Lonchura striata: one gene and its partners. The protein of the gene in region 3 interacts with the protein of the main gene of each other region in a pairwise test. Links are inferred from orthologs where the notes say so. Each region holds a gene or a part of one and is shown on either strand. Other genes may lie near its edges.

Region 1 (7,052 bases), about 12 Mb from region 3:
GGATCGTTCTGGATTTTATGGGAAAAGCTTTGTCCTGGCAGCTTTACATAGCTAGTCTATCACTTGTAAGGTTATCTGCTTTTTTTTTTCCTTTAGTACCTACATCAAAATACTTTTCCACACAGCTTTTCCTTTTTTTTTCCATCCTCCAACCAGCCGGATGACAACCACTCCTTATCTTTGGCTGTCTTCCATGCTAAAATAAGAATGCCGTTGTTACGCCGAGGGAGCTGCACCCTTCCACCTCCGTTCCCTCCTGACCAGCACGCAGCTGGCTGTGCCGGAATGCCCGAGGTTCCATTTTCTGATCATTTTTCTGTGACATTGTTGCAATTTACCCTTTAGCCATAATTTCTATTTCTAAATCACGCCAGGCCTCTCGTGCCACGCGTTTTGTAGCCTCAAGTGACAGTGCGTGTCCTGAAGAGCTGGTGATCCTCAGCCCATCCCCACTGCCACTCGCTTCCCTGGCCTGACTTAGGCTCGCCGACACAAGGGCAAGCACGCAGCCAGACACAGCTCGAAGGGCGCCGGGTGATTCCACCAGCAGCAGAGAATGACTGGATTAGAAGAGGAGCAGGATTAGAGATTGATGAGTTGCTGTGAGGCTGCTATGTCTGTATGATTGGCTCCAGCAGCAGTATTTGAATGTCAAACTGTGTCCCCGCGGAGCAGAGGTAGCACCTACACTGGGTTTCAGACTGCTGTGTGCAAGGCAGCTGGTGGCAAGTAAGGGGTTTGAGTTGGGGTCTGAACAGACAGCCCTGTACAGATGAGACCTTGGCAGGTCAGGCAGAGATGAGGAAAGAGGGAAACATGGAATGATTTGCCCACAGCTACACTGGCAGCTTGAGTCAGAGGCAGAAACGGGAGCCAGATTAAAAAAAAAAAATTAGTTCCTCATGCAGGAGATGAGCCAGCAGCCTTTGTTACATCTAAATGCATTTTTTCCCCTGTAATTCATACTGCTGCAGGCTCTGCACAGTGAACTCAGCATCCTGAAGTTGTAGGGTGCTCAGTGTGACCTGCTGATTGCACACGCCAAGCTCACTACACGACCAGCTCCATGCTCCAGCTCATGCCTACAATGCAATCCGTGCATGTTGCAAAAGCACTTGCTTTTTTTTTTTTGTTCGGAAGTGACCAGGACCCTGCAAAACCCATCACTGAGTTGATTTCCAGCCTGACCCAGATAGCTCTGGCTGCTGGATCGCCTCCAGAATTTAGTGTATACACAGAAACTTAGCAGCACTCTCCAGTCGACTCAAAGAGTTATCCCCTCTTCAAATTTGGCTTCAATCATCTCTGAAGGTGAAAGAGACTTAAGCTTCCCCTATTGGAGCTCCTCACAGATATACTATAGAATTCATCAAAGATGCCAAGGACAAAATAGTGAGGATGCATTAATTGATCAGGTTTCTCTAGCAGAGTGGTGCAGGAAACCATCCTGCCTATCAGCAGCCTCCTCTGCTAGTTACTGTGTTACATCTGATTAACCGGGGCCACTCACAGCGTCATGAAATGGAAGGAAAGGCTTTTCAAATTTACATATTAAAAAGACGGAGGTGTGCTGATTTCTGTCCTACGGAGTGTTTCAGACATAACATTAGTAATCAGTAGCGTATTTGTGAGGAAATCTTTACTTTGAATGCCAAGCCGATTTGCTAATGATGAATGACATGAAAGGTTACTTAGGAAAAAAGAAAAACATTTCCTCATCAAGTTTAAACGGAAAATACCTGAAGAATTAATGGGCAACCAGATACTCTTTCTTCTTTAACAATACACCCCCATTAGACAATATATATACTTTGAATCCCGCATTTTAATAATTTTTCTCTTTAGAAAAATAATTCTGACGGAGAACGTGCAAGAAAACTACCATCAACAGCGGTAAATAAACCGAAGCCGAACCAATCTCTCAAAAAAGAGGTTTGTTGGGGATTGCATGAGAAAAGGAGAATAACTGCCCTGCAACTCCTGCCCAGGGTGCTTGCACCCCGCAGCATCCCCCCGGAGGGATGCAGAACTTCTGGAGCACGACACTTCAACCCTGGCATTCACCGCCACGTACGCCCGGACCGCTGCGACGCCGGCGCAGATGACCCACGCCCCGCGACAGCCTCGTCCAGAAAAAGCCATTAAGGGAGCCGCAGGTGACAGTCCATCCCTCCTAGCAGACTTCGCCAGGAAGCCGGGCGACAGCGGGAGGAATTTCTGCCCTAACTTCGGAAGGGTAAATTCTCCTCCCGCTTCTCGCCTGTGACCGGCTACGCGAGGGACCCCAAATCATCCCATTACCGCCCATCTTGAAATCCATCCTGCAGAAATCCATTGCAGTCTCCTTTCCCGGAGCGCGGACCGGGCGCGGAACGCCGCCGCGGCCCCGCCGTGTGCGCCCCGCCGCCCGGGGCAGGAGCCGCGGGGGGCGATGCCCGGCCGCCACACGCGCCGCTCCTCCCGCGCACCCACGGCCGGGATTTCGGAGAAGTTGCGCAGGCAGCGGGAGGAGGAGGAAGGGCGGGGGTGGGGTGGGTGGCTCTGCTCGAGCGGGCACGGTCTCGCCCCGTCCCTTTCCCCGCCGCGGTCCCTCCGCGGCCCCCCACCGCCGCCGCAGCCCCACGGCCGGGACAACCCGCACAAAGCCGCCGCCGCCGCCACCGGGATCTCGCTGCGCCCGCTCGGCGCCACCAGAAACAATAGTCACGGGCCGAAGCGGGGACCGCGGGGCCGCCGCCCTCCCCACGGTACCGCAGCGCCCGGCCGCCGGTGGGAAGGAGGCTTGGGGGGGTGGAATTCCCGCAAAACGCCGCCGCCCGGCCAACCTGTCACCGCTCCACCCGCCCTGGGCTGTCGGTGCGCATCCGCTGCGCGGCACCTACCTCCGGTGGAGGGTGCGGCAGCCCCTAGCTGGGCTCCATGGGGCCGCAGCCGCCGCCCGCTCTGTCAAGCGCGGCCGCCGCCGCCGGGGACGCGCCGCCCTGCCCTGCCCGGTACCGCGTCCCGCTCCCCCCGCGCCGGGCGGGCCGGGGCGGGGCGAGCGCCGGGGGCGGGGCCGCCCAACCTGCGCCACGCCCGGCAGCGCCGCCCCCGCGCCCGCCGCGCCGCGGGCAGCCGCGGGAGCGCCGGGGTCCCGCGGAGCCGCGGCGGCGCGGGCGCTCGGGAGGATGCCGCAGCAGGCAGCGTCATCATCCTTCATAAATCTCGTGGGGGTTTTTGCGCCCTGCTTGCTTGAAGTTTTGACCTTGTCTCCTCTGCGTTTATCTCGGATTTACCACGATTCTGACTTCCTGTTTATTCCCCTTCCACCTCGTTGCCCTTTTTAATTTCTCCTCCCGCGCCCCCCCCCTCCCCACCCCCGATCTTTTCCATCCTCGCTTTCCCTTGTCCCCGTTTTCCCATCAGACTCTGAATATCCCATGCCTCTTGACCTCAGTCTCTGGGCTTCAAAACGCTTTTGTCAAGGGCAAAATAGTTTTTTGTAGGTTTCAAATCGCTATTAAGTGTCGCCAGCAGCTTATTGGAAGGTGCAGTGCATTAAACTAAATCCATGGCTAGTATTACATAATATACCCTCGAATGTACGTAAAAGATGATTGTAATTCCATCTGGATTTCTGTTGATATTAGCAAACCGCTCAAGATTTCCTCTTGTGGTTTAATGGGCTTTTCAAAACCTTTGACTGGTGCTGGATCAATCAGATTATGATTTAAGAAAGGGTAAAGCACACACACTCACGACATCGTAGGAATTAGTGAAAGAAGAAAAAAAAAACTTAGTAGGTCATCTGCCTAATCCATCTTCCAAAAGAGAGTAGGAATGTCCCCCATACAATAATTTATGGGCATTTGTCTAGTTTTCTTTCAAATGCTCCAAATATGTGGCTTCCTCATTGCCCATAGGAATTTAGGTCAAGCTGCCTGAGAAGGAATTTTGTAGCATCTTGGGATTTAAAATCCACTACTGTTATTCCAAGGTGGGTTTTTGTTTGTTGTTTTGGTTTGGTTTGGGTTTTTTTTCCCAGACAGCACAACTGTACAGTTGCAGTTGGTCATTTATTTCTTGCCCATCATCATGGAAGGATTTTGGCCATCACTTTCCTTAGGTTGAGAGCCCAGGAACATGCACAGCTGAGAAAATGTCAGCTTCATGCTCAGTGTGGCCAAAAGAGTGACTCAAATGTCAGGACTTGTTAGGAGAGCAACGAAGAGGAAAAGATTTTACACTAGAAAATGTGTGCTGGACCTGTGCGCTCAATACTGCAGGAATTCCCGTCTCACCTTCTCAAAAAGAACATAGCAGAGCTGTAAAAGATTTGGAGGAGGCCAGCAGTGATAATCCATGGCTTGAAAGGGTTTTCAGTTAGGTACATGTACATGGGCAAGAGGTACGAGAGGGGAGATGTGATAGAGGTTCCTCAAAGCTTGAGCAGCATGGAGAGGGTGAGCAGGGACTGGTGGTCCTGGCTTCCAGCACAAAAGGGAAAGGCTATTAACAGGACCACCTGACTGTACAGAGGTGATTCTTTGTGCAAACACAGCTGTGGAGCCCTTTGCTATCTGACAGCAGGCAGTTGGTGTCATTCTGAGGGGGAAATTAATTAATTAACAGGAGAGAAATCCAAGAGAGCAACCAAATCACAGCTTGCTCAGAAAGGTCCCTCCATGACAAATGGCTCATGGCTGGGCTTGCTCTTTTGCCCTTTCCCCTTGGTGTATGTTGGTAGTCACTGATCACCTCACAGCAGTGAATACACCTCTCAGATTTAATGTTACAGCTGTGTTAATTCTGTGCTGCCCACAGGTTTCCTAATGCCCTTACTGCATAGATTTGAGTAGTAAAAGGGATGAGTGGCTTTCAGTGGGAGAATGTCACTGGTGTACCAACATGTGGCATATCATGGAAGTTAGAATCATCAAAACCCTCTTAAAAAAACATCATTATGCATTGAGTCACCAAAGAGAGCGAGCACTGGTTGCAAAGAAGTTTCTGTCACTCTTCTAAAATGTGACAGAAATAATCAAATCTAGCTGTGGCCTGGGGACAGTAACCTTAATTTAAAATCAATCAAAAATCCCTCTCTCAATGGCAGCTGATTGTCCCAGACTGATGCCCTCCCAGGCCTGCCATTGTCAGTGCTGTTACACAAGTGGGTAAGCATTGTGTTGTCTCCTTGTCTTCCCTCCTCCTCCATGTCTTTGAAGCTGAGACAGCATGGTCTCAAGCATCTCTGTGTTTCTGGCAGAAGAATTTTTTCTGTGCATTAATTTATAAATCTGTACATGTATGTCTCAGTATGGCTGTTTTATCCATGCAGCTTCTCCAGAAATTTGCCAGTACAATATTGTATCTTGGTACAAAAAACTAGCTCTGGTGAGGTGGGTTGCCACACAGGAGGCAAACTACAGCAAGAATGAAAATGAAGGAGCCTAAACTATGTATGTGAATGACCTTGGTCAAGTGACTCACAGTCGTAGTCTTTTATGGGACTGATCCCATAGACTGTTTCCACATTGTATTCAGGTAGATCAGGATAATCATCATCTGCCTGTGAGGTTGCTCCACCTCCACCTAAATCTCAGCACAAATTCACATATGCGGCACTCTTCAGCTCCCATATAAACTGTGTTCTGAAGTTGGGTGTCTAAGGTAACCCTGTAGAGAGGATCTGCATCAACCTGGTGTATTGTCTGTGCTGATAAACGTGACATCTTTCCTTTTGCCAAGCATGTAAAGCAATCAGCAGTGTCAGTCATCTCAGCCTATCACTTGATCACTCTTTGATCCCAGAATAGTACAATACAGTAGCAAAATTAATACTGCCAGGTGTGATTACTAACGTAGCAATCCAGGATGCGTTGCAAGCTTTAAATTCTGCATAAGCAGCCACACTGCAAATGCTGGGTGGGGAAAACTGACAGATGAGTTTACACAGTCTGTTGGGAGCATTCAAAGCCCAGCAAGAGTGCTCATTGCACCTAAAATGGGGGTTCTGAGCAGATGCAAGTTTCATAGTGACAGAAGTAATTTTCAGGGTTTCCTCTAATAATATATAGGCAGTAGTAAGCCTGTGGCAAGTCCAAATTGAGTACTGAGCAGCTTTTAAATTGTTTAAGGTATTATCTATTATAAGGAAGTTTATAAAGCTCCATCTCCATTATTTGAGTTTTCACAAGGTCATAATCCACTTGACCCTTGTGGTTTATTTCATCACTATTGTCCCTCAGAGGAATTATAACCTTTACCATTACCACTTGCTAAATATATCACAAGGTTTTAGTGATATTGTCATAAATCACCAAGCTCAGCTTTGTTGCTTGTAATGTGACCATAGTACATACTAGTTTTGATGCACTTATTGTTAGCCTGATCTAGTTGTAGTTCTTTAATTATTTTATAATGGGATGACCATGTGCTAGCAGATATGAATGCATATTTGTTTTCCTTTAACATTTAAAAATTGCCTTTTTCTAAGGTGGTCTGAACTTCAAGTGCAGGCTTTTTAGGCAAAGTTTCTTCAATCAAACATGGAAAATACAAGCTCATGGATATTGAAACCAAGCACAGTGACTTCAACAACAGCATTCTCACAGTTGTTTCTCTTTTCAATTAAATGTGTGAGCATTCATTAGAAATCATATGAAATTTGATCATCATGAAAGCATTTAGTGAGAAAAACAAAGGTATCACACATAGGCAAAGTTCATTACTCTATGTGTTTTTAAAAGGATAAGCTATAGGGAAGCTATAGATAACTGAGAATTTTGGATAACAGTAATGTATATAACTATGCTGCTTTTTACATTTCAATTTGTTTTCTAGCAGAAAGTTGGTCCCATGTCAGCCCCCCAAAAGTCTTAAAGAGAATCTGCCATAGCAAAGATGTGCTACTGAAGCCAATCTTCAGTTGCACTTAAAGATCAGCTTGCATCAGAATAAGTTGGCCTCAAAACTGTTTTGACAAGACATACCTTGTTAAGCAGTAATTGGGATCCAGTCAAGCTGCTTCTGACTCCAAGAAGGATTAACCATTACTATAAATCAGGCTTACT
Region 2 (7,156 bases), on a different chromosome or scaffold from region 3:
AAACACACTCCTTTTTGTCTCTCAGAAAAAAGTCACCCATGAAGAAGCTGTTTTGCCAAGACAAAAATTCTCTTTCAAGAGAATTGAAATAAGTAGAGCAGAAGCAACTACTTAGGGAAATCCAGCCCTACCTGCTACTGCTACATTGTCAATCACAGAAACGCTGTCTGCGAAAGTCGGATTCGTTACCTGGTGTGCAATGAGCCAAGAACTACACACTTGAGGTGACATTGATTATTTATTTTAGAGTTGTGCAGGCCTGGGTGCCCGGGAGAATTCCACAATCAAGTACCCACTATAAAAGCTTTTTACTAATTATTATACATTTTACCAAGCAAAAGGATTAGTGTTCATTGGTTACAAGTAACATAGTTCCCTAATTAATTAGTATTTTCTCTTCTACTGGTTAATGATTTTCTTGCTTCCTGTGCTAATTAGTCCACATGCTCAGTCTCTCTCTTCTTTTGGATCAGGTTTCTTGGGTGGGTCGTTGCAATCTCCCTCAGTAAGAATTACCTGCTACCCAGCTGGAGCCAATTCCAACACAATTGCTAAGTTTGCTTAATCAGTTTCTTCCTTATTTTGGGGTTTCTGCTACACGTCCCTGTGGCCTCTAAATTCTAGATTCTCTGTGTCCACTATCAGTGGTACACCCATTTTCCCAGGCTTTTGTTAGCCTGCCCTTAGGTCTGAGATCACTGAAGTATGTCTTTGTAAGCTTAAGAAGGCAATTTTACCCAAAAGTAATTTGTTTTTCTAACACCCGGACATTATGTCGGCTGCTCTCTATATCAGGGATTAAATCTCCTTTCTTGTTGAAGAGGCTTGACAGTACACAAAGATCAAACATCAAAGCAAATCCTTCCTTGAGACAATTCTACATATTCTGTATTTTGCACTAGAAACAACTGTGAGGGTCTTCAAGTGGGCAGAGGAAGAGGAGGTGGAAGGGAATAGATGCTGTTGCTGCATTCTCTTCACTTCATCTGTAATGATGGGTCTGAGACAACCAGAAGTTCCTGCCTTTCTTTTGCCATCTAGTATTTCACTTAAAGTCACATGTGGGAATTAAACTCATGTGGATTAAACGTCACAGTTTAATTTTTGACACATTACAATAGGGTAGATGACTTGCAATAAAAAACATAATTCCTAAAAAGAAAAATTTGATCTCCAGCTCTCATGATTTTCATCTCCCATGGTTTTTGCTTTACTTCCAAACTGACTGTAGGGATATCTTAAAAAGAAACACCCCAAACCTCAAAATAATAAAGCAACCTTAGCCTAGCAAATACAAGATACTTTAAAAAGTTTTTTCTTAAAATTGTTACAAAACCTAATAAGAAACATAGTTTCTGTTAGGCAGTTCATTATAAAAATGTGAATGTACTATGTATCTAAATGCAGTTGCATCGACCATTTTAAAAACCTCGGTCATACTGAAGAAAAAGGCCTTACAAAACAGCACATGTTCAGTAAGAGCGTGACTGCTTAGAAGGAAGGAGTGAAAAGTACAACTGGGAAAACAAAGCGGCCAAGGAGGACGGACAGAAGAGATCCAAATTCCCACTTATGAGTGGGCTCACAGACGTGCGGCAGAGAGTGGACTGCTTCAGTTGTCTTTGCCATTTCCTTGAAAGACTCATCGAAACAGTGCCTTAGTCTTATGAGCCTGTAACTCTGGATACATTTCATGAGATGTGCATATGATTCGCCTTAGTCTTATGAGCCTGTAACTCTGGACTCTGGATACATTTCATGAGATGTGCATATGATTCGCCTTAGTCTTATGAGCCTGTAACTCTGGACTCTGGATACATTTCATGAGATGTGCATATGATTCGCCTTAGTCTTATGAGCCTGTAACTCTGGACTCTGGATACATTTCATGAGATGTGCATATGATTCGCCTTAGTCTTATGAGCCTGTAACTCTGGATACATTTCATGAGATGTGCATATGATTCGCCTTAGTCTTATGAGCCTGTAACTCTGGATACATTTCATGTGATGTGCATATGATTCGCCGAGCTAGTTTTACAAATCCGCCTCAATGAAACATGTTATTCGTATTATTCTCCTGGGCTACACCAGGAGCTCTTCGGATTCCGGGCAGGAGATGTTTTGTTTCCCGCACAGGGATCCCACAGACGCAGGCGGGGCAGTGCTGGGGCAGCTCGGGTGAGCCGGAGGAGCCGATGCGGCGTGCCCACAGCACCGCCATCTTGGGAAGCGGGGAGCCGTGGCCTGGGCATTGCAGAAGCAGGAGTTCTTCATGCACACTGCCGCACGATCTCCTCAAAACCAGCGCTCAGGCCATCCCGATCCCGCCCCTCAGCCCCGCAGCGCGGACGCGGGATCGGTGCCGCTCCCGCCGGGACCGTGGGCACAGCGGCCGCCAGGCGGCGCCCCCACCCCCGGCCGCCCCACCCCGGGGCTCCCGCCACCCGCGCGCGCCGCCCGCGGGCTGCGGCCCGCGCGCCCCGCAGCCTCATTGGCGGCCGCCGGTGTCAGTCAGCGCGACCTCCGCCAATAGCGAAGCGCGGGCAGCGCCCGCCCCGGACGCAGAAGCCAATGAGCGGCCGCGGAGCGCCCCGAGCGGGCGAAGGCGGAAGGCCTGGCCCGCGCCCAGGGCTCGCCGCGCTCGGGGGATCCGGGCGCGGTGCGGGCGGCGCTGGCAGCCACGGGGGTCCCGCGGGGCGCCCGGAGAGGGGACCTGGCCACTGCCGCCCCGAGCCCGGCGCGCGGCAGCGCCGCCGCCTCGTTAGTCCTTATTACGTCATCAAAGCGCGCATTAAATCGATCCCTTTTCAATTCCCGGCCGGGTCGCGGCCCGACGACGCGGCACTCCGAGGGGTGGGGAGGCGGTTCCGCCGGGTACTCACCGGGAGCAGCTTCTCGCCGCGCCGCTTCCCGCTCCACCGCCGCCGCTTCCTGCTGCCCGGCACGCTGGAAAGCGGGGCGCGCGCCGGCCAATCCCGACTCGCATTCCCGGCCTGCCCCGCGCTCACCTTCCACGCGACAGGGCGCGCGTGCGGCGGGGGAGGGGCCCTGCGGCCCGGGGCATGCTGGGAGTTGTAGTCCATTTGTGCAGTGTGGCGGGTTCAGCGTGACAGAACTGGAGGTAATCTGTGTAATCTCTCTGGGTAATCTGTTCCAGTCACCTGTGCTGTGAAGTTCTTCCCCATGTTCAGGGGGAAGTTCCTGTGCATCAGTTCCTGCCCATTGCCTCTTGTCCGGGCTCAGCACCCCCGAGCAGAGCCCGGTCCCTGCTCTGACCTTCCCTGCAAGCACTGACAGACAGGGATCAGGTCCCCTCTCAGTTGTCTCTTCTCGAGGCTCAACAGGCTCAGCTCTCTCAGCCTGTCCTCATAAGAGAGATACTCCAGTCCCTGGATCATCTTTGTTCAACTCTGTTCCTCTTGCAGATGAGGAGTACCTGTGTCTCCCCTTCTAGATGCATTTTACAGTTGCATCGCAGTACATTCCTTAGTCTGGCATATCAGAACATTTTGGAAGACAAGTGTTAGGGCCACACACCCCCTCACAAGCAGGACTCATACCCACAGGATCCCCTTCATCCTGTGTTCTCTTGACTGTCACACAGCCACTCTTCCATGCAGTTCCATAACACCGTGTTACTTTATAATTCAGACTGAGCTGTACCCAAAATGGGTATCATGAAGCAGTGTCAAAAGCTGGAAAGTCTAAAGTGCAATACTGCCCAGCAAGTCTCACTCTGTGGTGCTCAGCTGTGCCTCTCCAGCTCCTGGTCCCTGCAGCTGAGGAAGGAAAGGCCCAGGCAGCAGCTTGCAGATCCCAAGATCTCCTGGGCTATTTGGCCGAGGCACCTTACTGAGACAGCAAGTGCATGGTACGGGCTGCAACCAGCCCTTCTGCCATCCTGCCTGAGCACTGACAACACCAAACTTGGGTTTCTTTTCTACACTGGAATCTTCAGGGGACCCCTAGTCATCCAGGTTTCATGTCCTGCCACAAGATGAAAATGTACTCATCCAAATATAATAATTTAATTTGTAAGAACAGACAGCCTCTATGCTGAAGCTGACAAGAGAAGAGCAGCCTCATGCTGTGTCTCTAATGAGCTTGCCCATGTTCATTCCTGAAAATTGACTTGTTTATGAACTCCATCCCTTTCCCATGGTGCTTATTGCTTAATGGCCTTGTTAACATAACAGTGCTGTTGATCTTGTCAGTAGGTCTGCTCAGACAGTTATTTGCATTCTAGGAGTTGCCTGCCACACCCATTCTTGTTTTCTGGTACACAACAGTACATAGGCAATGTTGATGCCTCCTGCATTTAAAAATATATGAATGTTTGTTCTAAAGTAGAGGAAAGCTAATTTTTAGTAGAAGAACTATATCTCCAATAGTTTATAATCCAAATAGAAATATTGCTAAAGATATCACTGTAGTAGAGTACAAAACAAGAATTAAATTTTTCCATTCCAGCACCTTCTACCTGTCCAGTGTTGGTGGCTTGCTTGGTTTAGATTAAGGTATGGTTTGTTCTGACCATTTACTTTTTTTCTCACAGCATTTTCCACTGTATTTTTTTTCCTATGGGTTCCTCCATCTAGTTTTACTGTGAGGTTAGGCTGAAGGTTTTAAATGAACAGTTTATACTTGGTCCTAATAGCTTTTCAAGTATAAAATTACATGGACTAAACCATAACTCTTATGTTCTCCTTTTCCTCTCTCAGAGATGGTTGTGTCATTTCCCACCACTACCTCCAAGACTTCCAAGAGGTATGTTAAAAAACAATACAATTTAGTTTTAGTAAGTCTGGAAACTACCTGGTTTATAGTGCATTTTATTTACATAAGGAAGAATATGTTAAGCAAACATCTAAAGATCTTTATCAATATCTCTAGTTCAACCTGTATTAGCCATTTATATGCCTAAAAATTACCTATGTTTTTTTCCTTTTTCAGAATCACCTCAATGACACTAAAAAATCCTGTATTAATTAAAATAACATGGTACATCTTCTGGATATAACATTCAGCTGAGTTTGGGAAAATTACTGAAGTGTAGGTGTTCTCTTCTAGCTCCAGCCTCTCACAGCAGCACTGAACAGGGCTGAGAGCATCTGTCCAGGCCGATCCTCGTGAGTCTCTCCCAGGGGGAGCTGTGATGTACCAAACATCCAAAAATGAGTACTAAACTAATAGTAGAAAATTGTGACTCATATATTTCCCTTCTTTAATAAATGAAACACCTCTTTGTCTGAGGAAATGTAGGAATTATTAAGCTGGAGATGTGAAATCAAGAATTCAGGAGGCCTGCTTGTGTGCAGCGTTGAGTATATAACTATTGTTCAAAAGGGACCATTAGCTCATCTAGTGCAAGGCCATCCACCTGGCAGCCTCTGACCTACATCCAGCCTGCTGGACAGTTCTGACTGGATCCCAAAATGGTTTTGAAATCTCCTTAGTGCACTCATAGCACACCCAGATCTCCCACATCAAAACCAAATTATTCACCAGGCAGAATACAGGTAGCTGCAATGTGGGCTGTTCTAGTCTCTTCTATTGGAAAAATTCTTACGAAATCAACTTCTCATTCTTATAGTGTTATCAATCATTTGCAAGAAATCTCTGTATCAGACGAGTCAGTACATCTCCCATGCACAGAGACTTGTTCTGTGCATAAGAAGGCTTTACTGTCATGCCTAGAGCAAGCCAGATGTGTGCTGTTATGCAAGAGGAAAATATTTATGTGGGGCCCCTTTGATAGGTATGCTGAGGGCAATAATATCAGTGCGTGTTTTAAAAGTTTTAAAGGAAAATAAACATGGATTGTGCTTCTCACAGAGATCTGTTCTGTTAATTTTTCTTATTTCTTTATTATTTCCAGACTGAAGGAAATATATAAGGAGTTAAGAAGTCAAAATAGCTTTGTAGTCAATAAAGTCAAAATAAAATAAATAAAATCAAAATGGAATGCTTGAAAACTGTAATGTGTAGAATTGTAGATTGATGTAAAAAAAATTTAAATCTTAGTCCTATGACACAAACGTGTTAACCTCTTCCTTCATTATCTTTCTATTTTCAGAGGAAATGTCCAGCTAGGACAGGATGTACATTTACATCTATTCAGTAGTATTTGCTAACATAAAAGCTCCGTGCCAAGTCTTATCTACTGTTTACAAGTTTCATATTTTTGTGACCCCAGAAAGAGCAGCTGACTAGTGAAGTCAGGGAGATCAGTGTCTGTTGAACATTGCAAGCAATGGTATTGAATTATAGTTCTTATCTAAATATTTTCTTTTATATAATTATAAATATCTGGAGGAAGAAGCAAGTCCAGCAACTCATTGTCCCTCAGTTTCATAAACTGTAGTGATTTGGATTCTGCAGGATTACAAGAAGCATGCCTAAAGAAATAAGTATTTAGCTATTTTTCCTTTTGATCCCATAATATAGAATCATACATATAAATATAAAATGGGTTGAGTTGGAATATCATTTCCCAGTATAAATTCAGCAGACTTTGTCTAGGTCAGTACCATCTGGAAGCCTCTTAAAGAAATACTCTGTTCAAAAGTGATCTGTGTTTATTGTTAAAATACACATGCACTGGGCAATTTTTTGCATGGGTATACATTGTGCATCATGAGTAGAAATAACATACACAGACATTATTATTACAGATTTCATATATTTTTTTAGTGCCTCTTCAGATGTGACCCAAATGTTTCATAGACAAATATTTAACCTCATTTGCAAAAGCATTTTTGTTTTGTGGAGATTTTTGATAATCAACAGTGGACACAGCACATCAGGACATGAAATGTAGTGGTTTTTCTCAAGCTCTTTCACAACCCATGAAAATCTACAGAGTCTGAGAGGAGTTAAATTTAAATTATAAGAAGTTTTGACCTAGCCCACAACTGTACTTCCATGTATTATGTATACAGAACATTAACAGATAATTTTAGATTATCCTCTTTCAGGTCAGGTAATCATCCTACAAAAATGTAGACCTGTGAATCATATTATTGCTGTGTGAAATTATGTTTGGCTGATATGGGCATAAAATATTCACTGGAAACTTTATTCCAGAACCTGGAGACAATCGGAGTCATTCCACATGCAATTAAGATAAGATTAAGAGCAATATAAAGTTGGAA
Region 3 (7,681 bases):
AATAATAACCCTCTGCTTCTGGTCAGGCTGAAGAATTGTGCATGATCTCTGAATAGTCACCAAACTGCCCATATGGCCCAGGCCATCTATGTTTTAAACAGCCAACCTTTAAGTTATATTCTCCAATCAGCAAACAACCTTAGCACAATTTCAGTGGCAACCTAAGAGATGAGACATTGACTGATGCCACAAGCAGATAAACTTCTGCAGACATGAGTGCCTACCAGTCTGACCCCTTGCACCAAGGTTTTTAAAGAGGTCAGATAAGGATCTGGCCATAAAAATAGTTCTGCAGGCAGAGAGACAGAGCAGTAGAGGATAAGGTGATGGGAAGCATTTTAAACTCTCTAATTCATCCAAATTGCTCTATGTTAAACCAACTCTGCTTGCAAATAGCTGAAGGCAAAAATCTTACCTGTGACTTTATACGCTCTGTTCAGTACAGTTTGTGCCAGGCACAAGGACAAGGTTTGCCAAAGCCTTTCATGAGGGTCTGTCATAAAGGCATTGAATTTTGTAGCAAAAAATACACACTTCCCTCCTCACTTAGCACCATCTTCTATTGAAAATGAACATCACAGAGATATAAGAATAACGCCACATCAAGCCACTACTTGCTGTATCAACTTGGTTTTTCCAGAAGTGATGCCTCAGGCAAGTTTCAAAATTTAAATTTCTGCTATTCTTCACATTTTCCCAAAGCTATCTTTTTTTTCCTAAGCTGTTATAACTCCCTGAGAAATTCAGGTTCTGTGTGATTTCCTCCAGCTTGCCTCCTTCTGACCATGGGACTCACTGAACACCACAGATTCACAGAAAAACAAAGCTGGATCTTCTGCCCCTGGGCAAGATCAGCTGCAGACATACAATTTCTGACACATGTCCTGACAAAATGTTATCTTGTTCTTATTCAACAGCCTTTCTGAACTGTGTCAGCCTTTTCTGCTCATACCTGACTCAGATCTTTAGCTCAATCCATAAAAAAAACTTCATGAGTCCTGCAGTTAATGGAGGCCTCCAGAAGTTGGGCCAGAGGCAGCTCAAGTAGGGGTATGGACAGATGCCTGGACAGGTTAGGTTAGACAGCATTAACACCCTGCTATGTGCATTTCCACAGTGTGCCAGACTGATTTGGAATAAAACCCTTTCAAGGTTTTCCTCTCAACCCCTGTGCTGTGATAAAGGCCAAAGGAGTGAAGAACATCTGGCCAGCTGTGTTGTAGGTACTTAGAGAGAACAACCAGTGGTGGCACCATAGGTGGAGACATGCAGAGATAAGAAAGATTTTTTTTTTTCCATGGAAGCTGGTAGCCATTATCAAAATTCCTCTTCTTGGTACCAGTTATTTTGAAAGTTTAGCATACACACACCACAAGACAATGGGAGTGGTCTAGGACTCATCCTCAATCACCTTACATCTTCACTTCCCTGCTGCTGGCTGCCCATCCCACATTGATTGATTATTGCTGTTATGATTATTGCTATTATTATAAAAACTGCTATTAATGGTAATAAATACAGCACCTAGTTTAAATTGGATTCTATCAGTATTTGTCTTTTTAGTGGAGCAAAGTTCCTACTGAAACTTCTTACTGCCTACAAAATATTATTCTGAACCCTTTCTTCCATCATGCTCACAACACAAACATTCCAAATACTTTAGTTCACCAGTCACTCCTTGGACCTATCAGACATGTCTTTTGTGAAGAGCTCCTCTTTTTTAACAATAGATTGTTGTTTCAAGCAATACTTGGTGAGTCTCCGAGTTTTGCCAGTGGGTCCTGGTATCTTTGGAAAAAAAGGGACATTTATGAGCAATGCTGGTGGGTGGAGGGGTGTACATCAGGCATGTGAAAAGCATACCTTGTGGTTTTAGTGCTGCATGAATTGTAATCACTGGAGGTAGTGAGGTGCATTCCAGTCACTGTGACAAAGATAAAAGGCAAAGATTTGCCTTCCTAATTATTTATGGAAGCCTGGTGTTCAACTATGCAATGCTGTCATGGGTAGATTTCCTTTCAGCAATGCACTGCAACATTAGCTGTCCCTCAAAACATCCGCTCAGTCATTTTTGCATAGATGAATGGTGACATGACAGGAGAGCTATTTGTTGTACAGGTGTGACTGGAGTGTAGGGCACTGGGGAGGGGCTCCCTGTGCTCCCCAGGTACCTCCTGTTATACCTCAGAGACTCTATGAAGCAGGAACATGTATAGCTGCCCAAAAATTAATGTTTCAGCCATCCTGGGTGAAACTCCAGATGGATACAAGTCTTCTCCCTCCTCTCTTCCTTTTGGCTTTTCTCTCTTCCCTCTCTCTTCACTCCAGATTATACTCTGGTCAGTTTTAACATGCCATCTGCCAGGCATCTTTTAGTTAACTATTATCAGATGGCTTAGATAAATACTGCCTTATCCTGGTCTTGGCTGCTCATTCTTACCCATGAACTACTTCTCCTGCTAGGCAGAGATAATTTTTTTTCAAAAATGTGTCTGTTTTTTTGGCTGAGTGAATCACCTCGCCCAAAGCACCACTCAGCTTACTCAAAAGTGTAGGGACATTCTCACTTTTTAAACATCCTCACTATTTTAGACAGTGAGCACTGCTAAAGAAAACAGGACAAAACCTCCCAGATATTAACTATAAAGACTACTTCAGAAAGTGTTGCTCCAAGTCAGCCTTCAAGTGGAAATCATCCCTGGTGGAGCTGGATTCAGAGAGGGAAAAGGGCAAGAGAGCCTGTGATCTGCACATAATTTATACAGTTTTCCCCTTTTGCCACTGAGTGGTTTTCACCCAGCTGTGGCAGCACAGCACTAAAGGAACTACAACTCTGCCTGCTAAAACAAAGCTAATCCATGCACATGCTGGCCTGAGCTGACATGGGCTTGCAGCAGAAGGTTTTAAAGGAGATCTGCTTAAAGCCTGCTAGCAGCTGGAAGGTCATTTGCATGTCAGAGAACACTCTCGATGGAAACAAGCAAGCATAAACACCTACCCTTTACAAGCCTGCTTCCATGCTCAAAGAAACCTGATGCTCAGCCATGTGGAGAAATCATTTCTTTCCTCTCCACAGCATAAAGTTCACTGAAATGGAAAACAGCTCTTACAGCTGAGTACTCCAACTGAAATTATTAAGTATTTTTAATAGCTAGCAAAATGATGCATTTGCTTTATCTGTAACCATATAAATACTCTGTACTAAATACACTAAACCATTTATTGCAAAATTAGTTTGGCTTATAAACATACTATATTAATTTTAATGAAAATGTTTTGGTCTGAAAAAAATATTTAAATATTATTTCCTATCACTTTAGTGGCTTTGTAGAAAGGTGAATGTGATCCTCTATGTTTAAATGGTTTAAAGCACCCAGCTTAAACTGCATTACACAAGAACTTCTGTGTTGCCATTAATAGCCCACGCTTAATTTGAAGTACAGAGGAAAAATAATAATCAAAACCTGAATTTCCAACCATTCTCTAGTTTAAATAAATCTCAATCTCACTTATATTAAAAAATGTGATTTATTTGTTAAGTTAGCAGAATCTTAAAAAAGAGACACTAAAAGCAGAATTTATAAAGCATACTGCTTACCTGAGCTGCCTCGAGGAGCCTCTCTACAACACACGCTTGCACAGGCTCTCCTTTAAAACTGAGTTAATAGGGATTTAATGGGAAAACAGTGCCATACACTTACTTACCAGACTGGCAGCCACAGCTCTCTGCAAGGATGCCCTCCTTCTGCATCCTCATCACTGCTGTCCCTGCTGTCCCTGCAGAAAGTGGTGGCCTCTTTCCCCACATAAGGCTCACCCAGCACCAAAGTTGTACCGAGTGAATGGGAGGAAATGTTTTCTGTTTGCAGGTCAAGGAGGCCACTGTATTTTTAGCACTTGGATCCTTGCCCATCCCACTGCCCCTCTGGGATCAGCTCCCTACCTTGCTTTTTGAGCCCATGATCCAACAGTCCTAGGAAGAGACAAAAGCCTGTTCTCAGCACTGAGAACTCATGGCATGTTTCAGCCAATGGGCATTCACACATGTTTAAATTGTTTTCTGGCCCAGGGTCTTAGACACGTGCTAAGACTTTAGGAATTGATTCCAGGGAAATCAGTTTCATAATTTGGAAGCCACTGCCCAGCAAAACTCAAACACTTGTTGTCCTTTAGCTGTTGACACTAAGCCTGAGGACCCTCAAGTAAAAGTATAGGGTGGTCTGAAAGATGAATCTGGGAGGATGAATCTGAGTTATTCACATTTGGTCACAGCTCTTTTCCTTTCAGACCATAGGCAGGTGGCTCTCCACAGTGAAGTAATGCTCCGAGCAGGAGCTCTAACACCCCCCCCCCCCACCTTTGGGTGTGATTTAACAACCCTCAGGCCTCTGCTGGAGGTTTTAGTGTTTTACTGGAGATTTTTGTCACCCTTCAGTACATTTTATTCTGAAACAAATGAAATCACCTCTATCTATATGCTTCAATGATTTTAAAATATGATTTTATGTTATCTGAATGGTCGGTTAATACAGTGCAAGACTTCATATCCTGGAAAAAAGTCTGCATTCTTCACCAGTCATCAGCCCTGCAATAACTAACTCCCCAGAGCTGTTGAGACCATATTATAGCCACACATCCAGGTGAGGTCTGGCTCTTGCAGCAGGAGGCATCTGCATCTCTCTCTTCTGTAACCCTGTTAAGGCATGGCAGTGTGCCAGCAGGGCCATCCCTGCCAGGTCTGCTGATGGCCAAGTCTGCCCTCACAATTCCTTCTCCTGTATGACAAATAACCCTCTGTTTGCAGTTCTCCTCTACTGCAAACAGATAATTCTTGTTCCATCATATTACGTCTTCTATCAAGGAGAGCAGAAAACCTAAACTTGTGTGAGTTGAGCATGGGTTGCAATGGCCACAACTGTGATGGAGGAGTGCCTGCTTCAGAAGCAGGAGCCAAGCATATCTATCCTAAAAATAAACAACTTTGGGGCCCAGGATTTCAGACATTCATATGTATCACAGAAATGCCTGTTACAGCTCTTCAGCACTTTAGAACTGAAGTTAATAGCTACAGGCACATGGTGGGGAACCAGAGTGTAGATCTGAGATGTATAGAAGGTCACATATGACATTTGTAAATGATGATAGAGAAACTTCACCCACAAAGACAAATGAAAGAACCAGCAGGAGTTACCTGTGTCCCATATCTAACCTGTCAGGCTACATCTGTCTTATTTTGGGCCCACAGATACTGCCTCTTAAGGTGGTAGCTGTAACCTGGGTTATGACAGTAAGCCTGTAACCTAGGATTATGACAGTAATCTGTCATACTCTAGCTGCTTCAGTTTCCCTGCTTTCTGTCCCCAGAATGCAGCCCTGAGCACTCCCAGTGACCACCACATTCCTGAGGAATCAGTCATTTTCCACAATATCAGGCAAATAAAAAGGGATGGTTAAATTGTCACTGATAAAAAAGCAGCAAAGGTGTGATTGTCATTTGTCAACTCAGCCTCATGTGGAGATAAGCCTGAAGGTTAGTTGTACTGCCAGTGCTAATTTCTCCCGGGGTATGCTCCAGATGAAGCTGTACTCTACATCACAATCTCCCTTGCCAATGTGTGAAAAGATGTCTGGGTTAAGCCAGCCCAGGTATTCAGGCTCAGGTAAGCCTCACACCTTCCCCTTGCATGAAGATGTACTACTAGAGAGTGTGCTTGAAAGCTTGTCTGTCTTACAAGCTTAGACTTCTGTCACAGAATGAAAGAATCATCAAGGCTGGAAGGGATCTCCAAGATCAGCTAGTCCAACCATCAACCTAACATCACTATAATCACCCCTAAACCATAGTGCCAAGTGCCTCACCTCCTGTATGGTGTATCTTGATTTCAAAAAGAAAGGAAAACTTTGAGAAACTTTTCCTGAAGCAATTAATTTGCCTTTTTCCAGTCTCCTAAAGCCATTCCTATGCTCACTGACATATTAATGTCCCTTCACAAAGTGGCATTCGTAGGTGGCAAATCTAGCTGGTCTTTTCAATGTATGGTGCGTGTTTCCATGGATAACTCTCCCCATGGCTACACCACTGTCAACAAAACCTACTCCATCTCTCCAAAACTCTCCTCCTGCATGACCCCCCAGATGCCCACCTCTGCTACCACAACACAGGACAGAGCTGGCTCAGATGGGTGAGTACAGCCCTGCCTGGGTCTGTACTGAAGCCACTGAGCCACCTCAAAATACTCTTTAAAAAATCATAATATAACCCAGCTTGTTCTCCTGCTTGGTTCAGCATGTGCTCCCCCCCAAAAAAATGTAGCAGCACAAGTGAGAATGTGGCATTGGAAACTACTAGTGAAAGTGGGAGAGGATCTTCTAGCTGGAGTCACCATAGAAAGAAAATCTGTGGTATCACAGAAAGCTTTCTCCATGGTCAGAAGGTTTCAGGCTGAGTCTCTGTGTTTCCAACCATTTACTTCCAAGACAAAAACTAGTACAGGAGTTAACAGAGGTGGCCAGAGGGCATGGTACATATCTGTGGGTTTTTCCACAAAAAGATCTCGTCTAACACCACAGAGAGCTCACAACTTAGAATATAGAGCAGCATTATTTGGTGTGGGAAGGTGGAGAAACCACTCAAATAAACAGGACAGCTCAACAGAAGCCTTCTGCTACATTTGGGGTGTAAAATGGTCTTTACTTGGCATTTTTTTCTCTTGATAAGAGGGCATGAAATCTGCCTGAGAAATTCAAGTAACAAGAAGAATTCTGTCTAATGATTAAGGGAAATAAAGTACTGGGACCAGTTTGTGCATGGGGACTAGTACTATTTTGAGCACAGTTTGGGAGAGTGCTTGTTCAGTGCCATGGTTTAGGAATGGTTCTCTCCAAATCAGTACCCCCACCAAGACTCTCTCAAACAACTGCTCTCTCTTGGTCCCACTTCCCCTCCTGCTTCCCCGTGTGGTGGGATGGAATGAAGAACTGGAGGCACAAAAGTTGAAGACAACAGCTTGAGGGAAGAAAAATTTACTGAAAACAGCAATGAGATAAGAAAATAAACAGCAATAGTATTAATAACAAAATTATAGAGAGACAATTCACATGCAAAAATGCTCACCTTGGAGACTGTGACAATAAAGAATACCAAAGAAAACAATACAGTCTTTCCTCTTCCCTCATCATTTTAACAGAGGCATATAACAGGAGACATTTTTTAAACAAATGTAAACACAGGGTTATTACAGAGTGTTATGATCTGATTATTGAGTGATGCCTCTACCTCTGTAAATGAACATCAGTTATAACTTTCCAATTTCCATGTTAGCTAATTAATGAATTCCAATACTCTTTATTTATTCCTTTGATATCTCATGCTTTCACACATCAACAATGGAGAGGACCGCATTAAGCTGCGAAGCAGCTTTGTGTGTCTCAGGACTTCTGCCATTCCCTTTCACATCCTGACAAGCTCAGTTTAGGAAAGTGTACCATTTTGGGCCTAGACTATTATTCTACTTGCCATCATGGTCTCTGAACAGCTGGCTATCACTTATTCTTGTGGTTGAGTCCTTCGAAGCCCTACAAAGGGTCAAAAAGTCAAGACCTCTGGTCGCTAAACATGAAACAAAAGATGAGTCCGGAACAGTGAAGATTCTTCCAAAGTGCCTGCAGTCCCATTCAGAAA

What was found.
Region 1: the proteins of FHL2 (region 3) and RAI2 interact in binary tests that used the Homo sapiens proteins (3 or more experiments, as listed by UniProt). The two-hybrid records come from large-scale screens. The link is inferred for Lonchura striata from reciprocal best matches to the Homo sapiens genes FHL2 and RAI2.
Region 2: the proteins of FHL2 (region 3) and ZNF131 interact in binary tests that used the Homo sapiens proteins (3 or more experiments, as listed by UniProt). The two-hybrid records come from large-scale screens. The link is inferred for Lonchura striata from reciprocal best matches to the Homo sapiens genes FHL2 and ZNF131.

What each region holds. Positions count from the first base shown.
Region 1 is NC_134604.1:101,279,635-101,286,686, reverse strand, and holds the start of RAI2 (retinoic acid-induced protein 2), read right to left. Parts: upstream 3,005-7,052; 5' UTR 2,883-3,004; intron 2,842-2,882; exon of another isoform or gene 2,826-2,841; intron 2,321-2,825; exon of another isoform or gene 2,302-2,320; intron 1-2,301.
Region 2 is NC_134642.1:35,167,781-35,174,936, forward strand, and holds the start of ZNF131 (zinc finger protein 131), read right to left. Parts: upstream 3,005-7,156; 5' UTR 2,885-3,004; intron 1-2,884. UniProt on the Homo sapiens protein: Plays a role during development and organogenesis as well as in the function of the adult central nervous system. May be involved in transcriptional regulation as a repressor of ESR1/ER-alpha signaling.
Region 3 is NC_134604.1:89,246,613-89,254,293, forward strand, and holds the start of FHL2 (four and a half LIM domains protein 2), read right to left. Parts: upstream 3,083-7,681; 5' UTR 2,999-3,082; intron 1-2,998. UniProt on the Homo sapiens protein: May function as a molecular transmitter linking various signaling pathways to transcriptional regulation. Negatively regulates the transcriptional repressor E4F1 and may function in cell growth.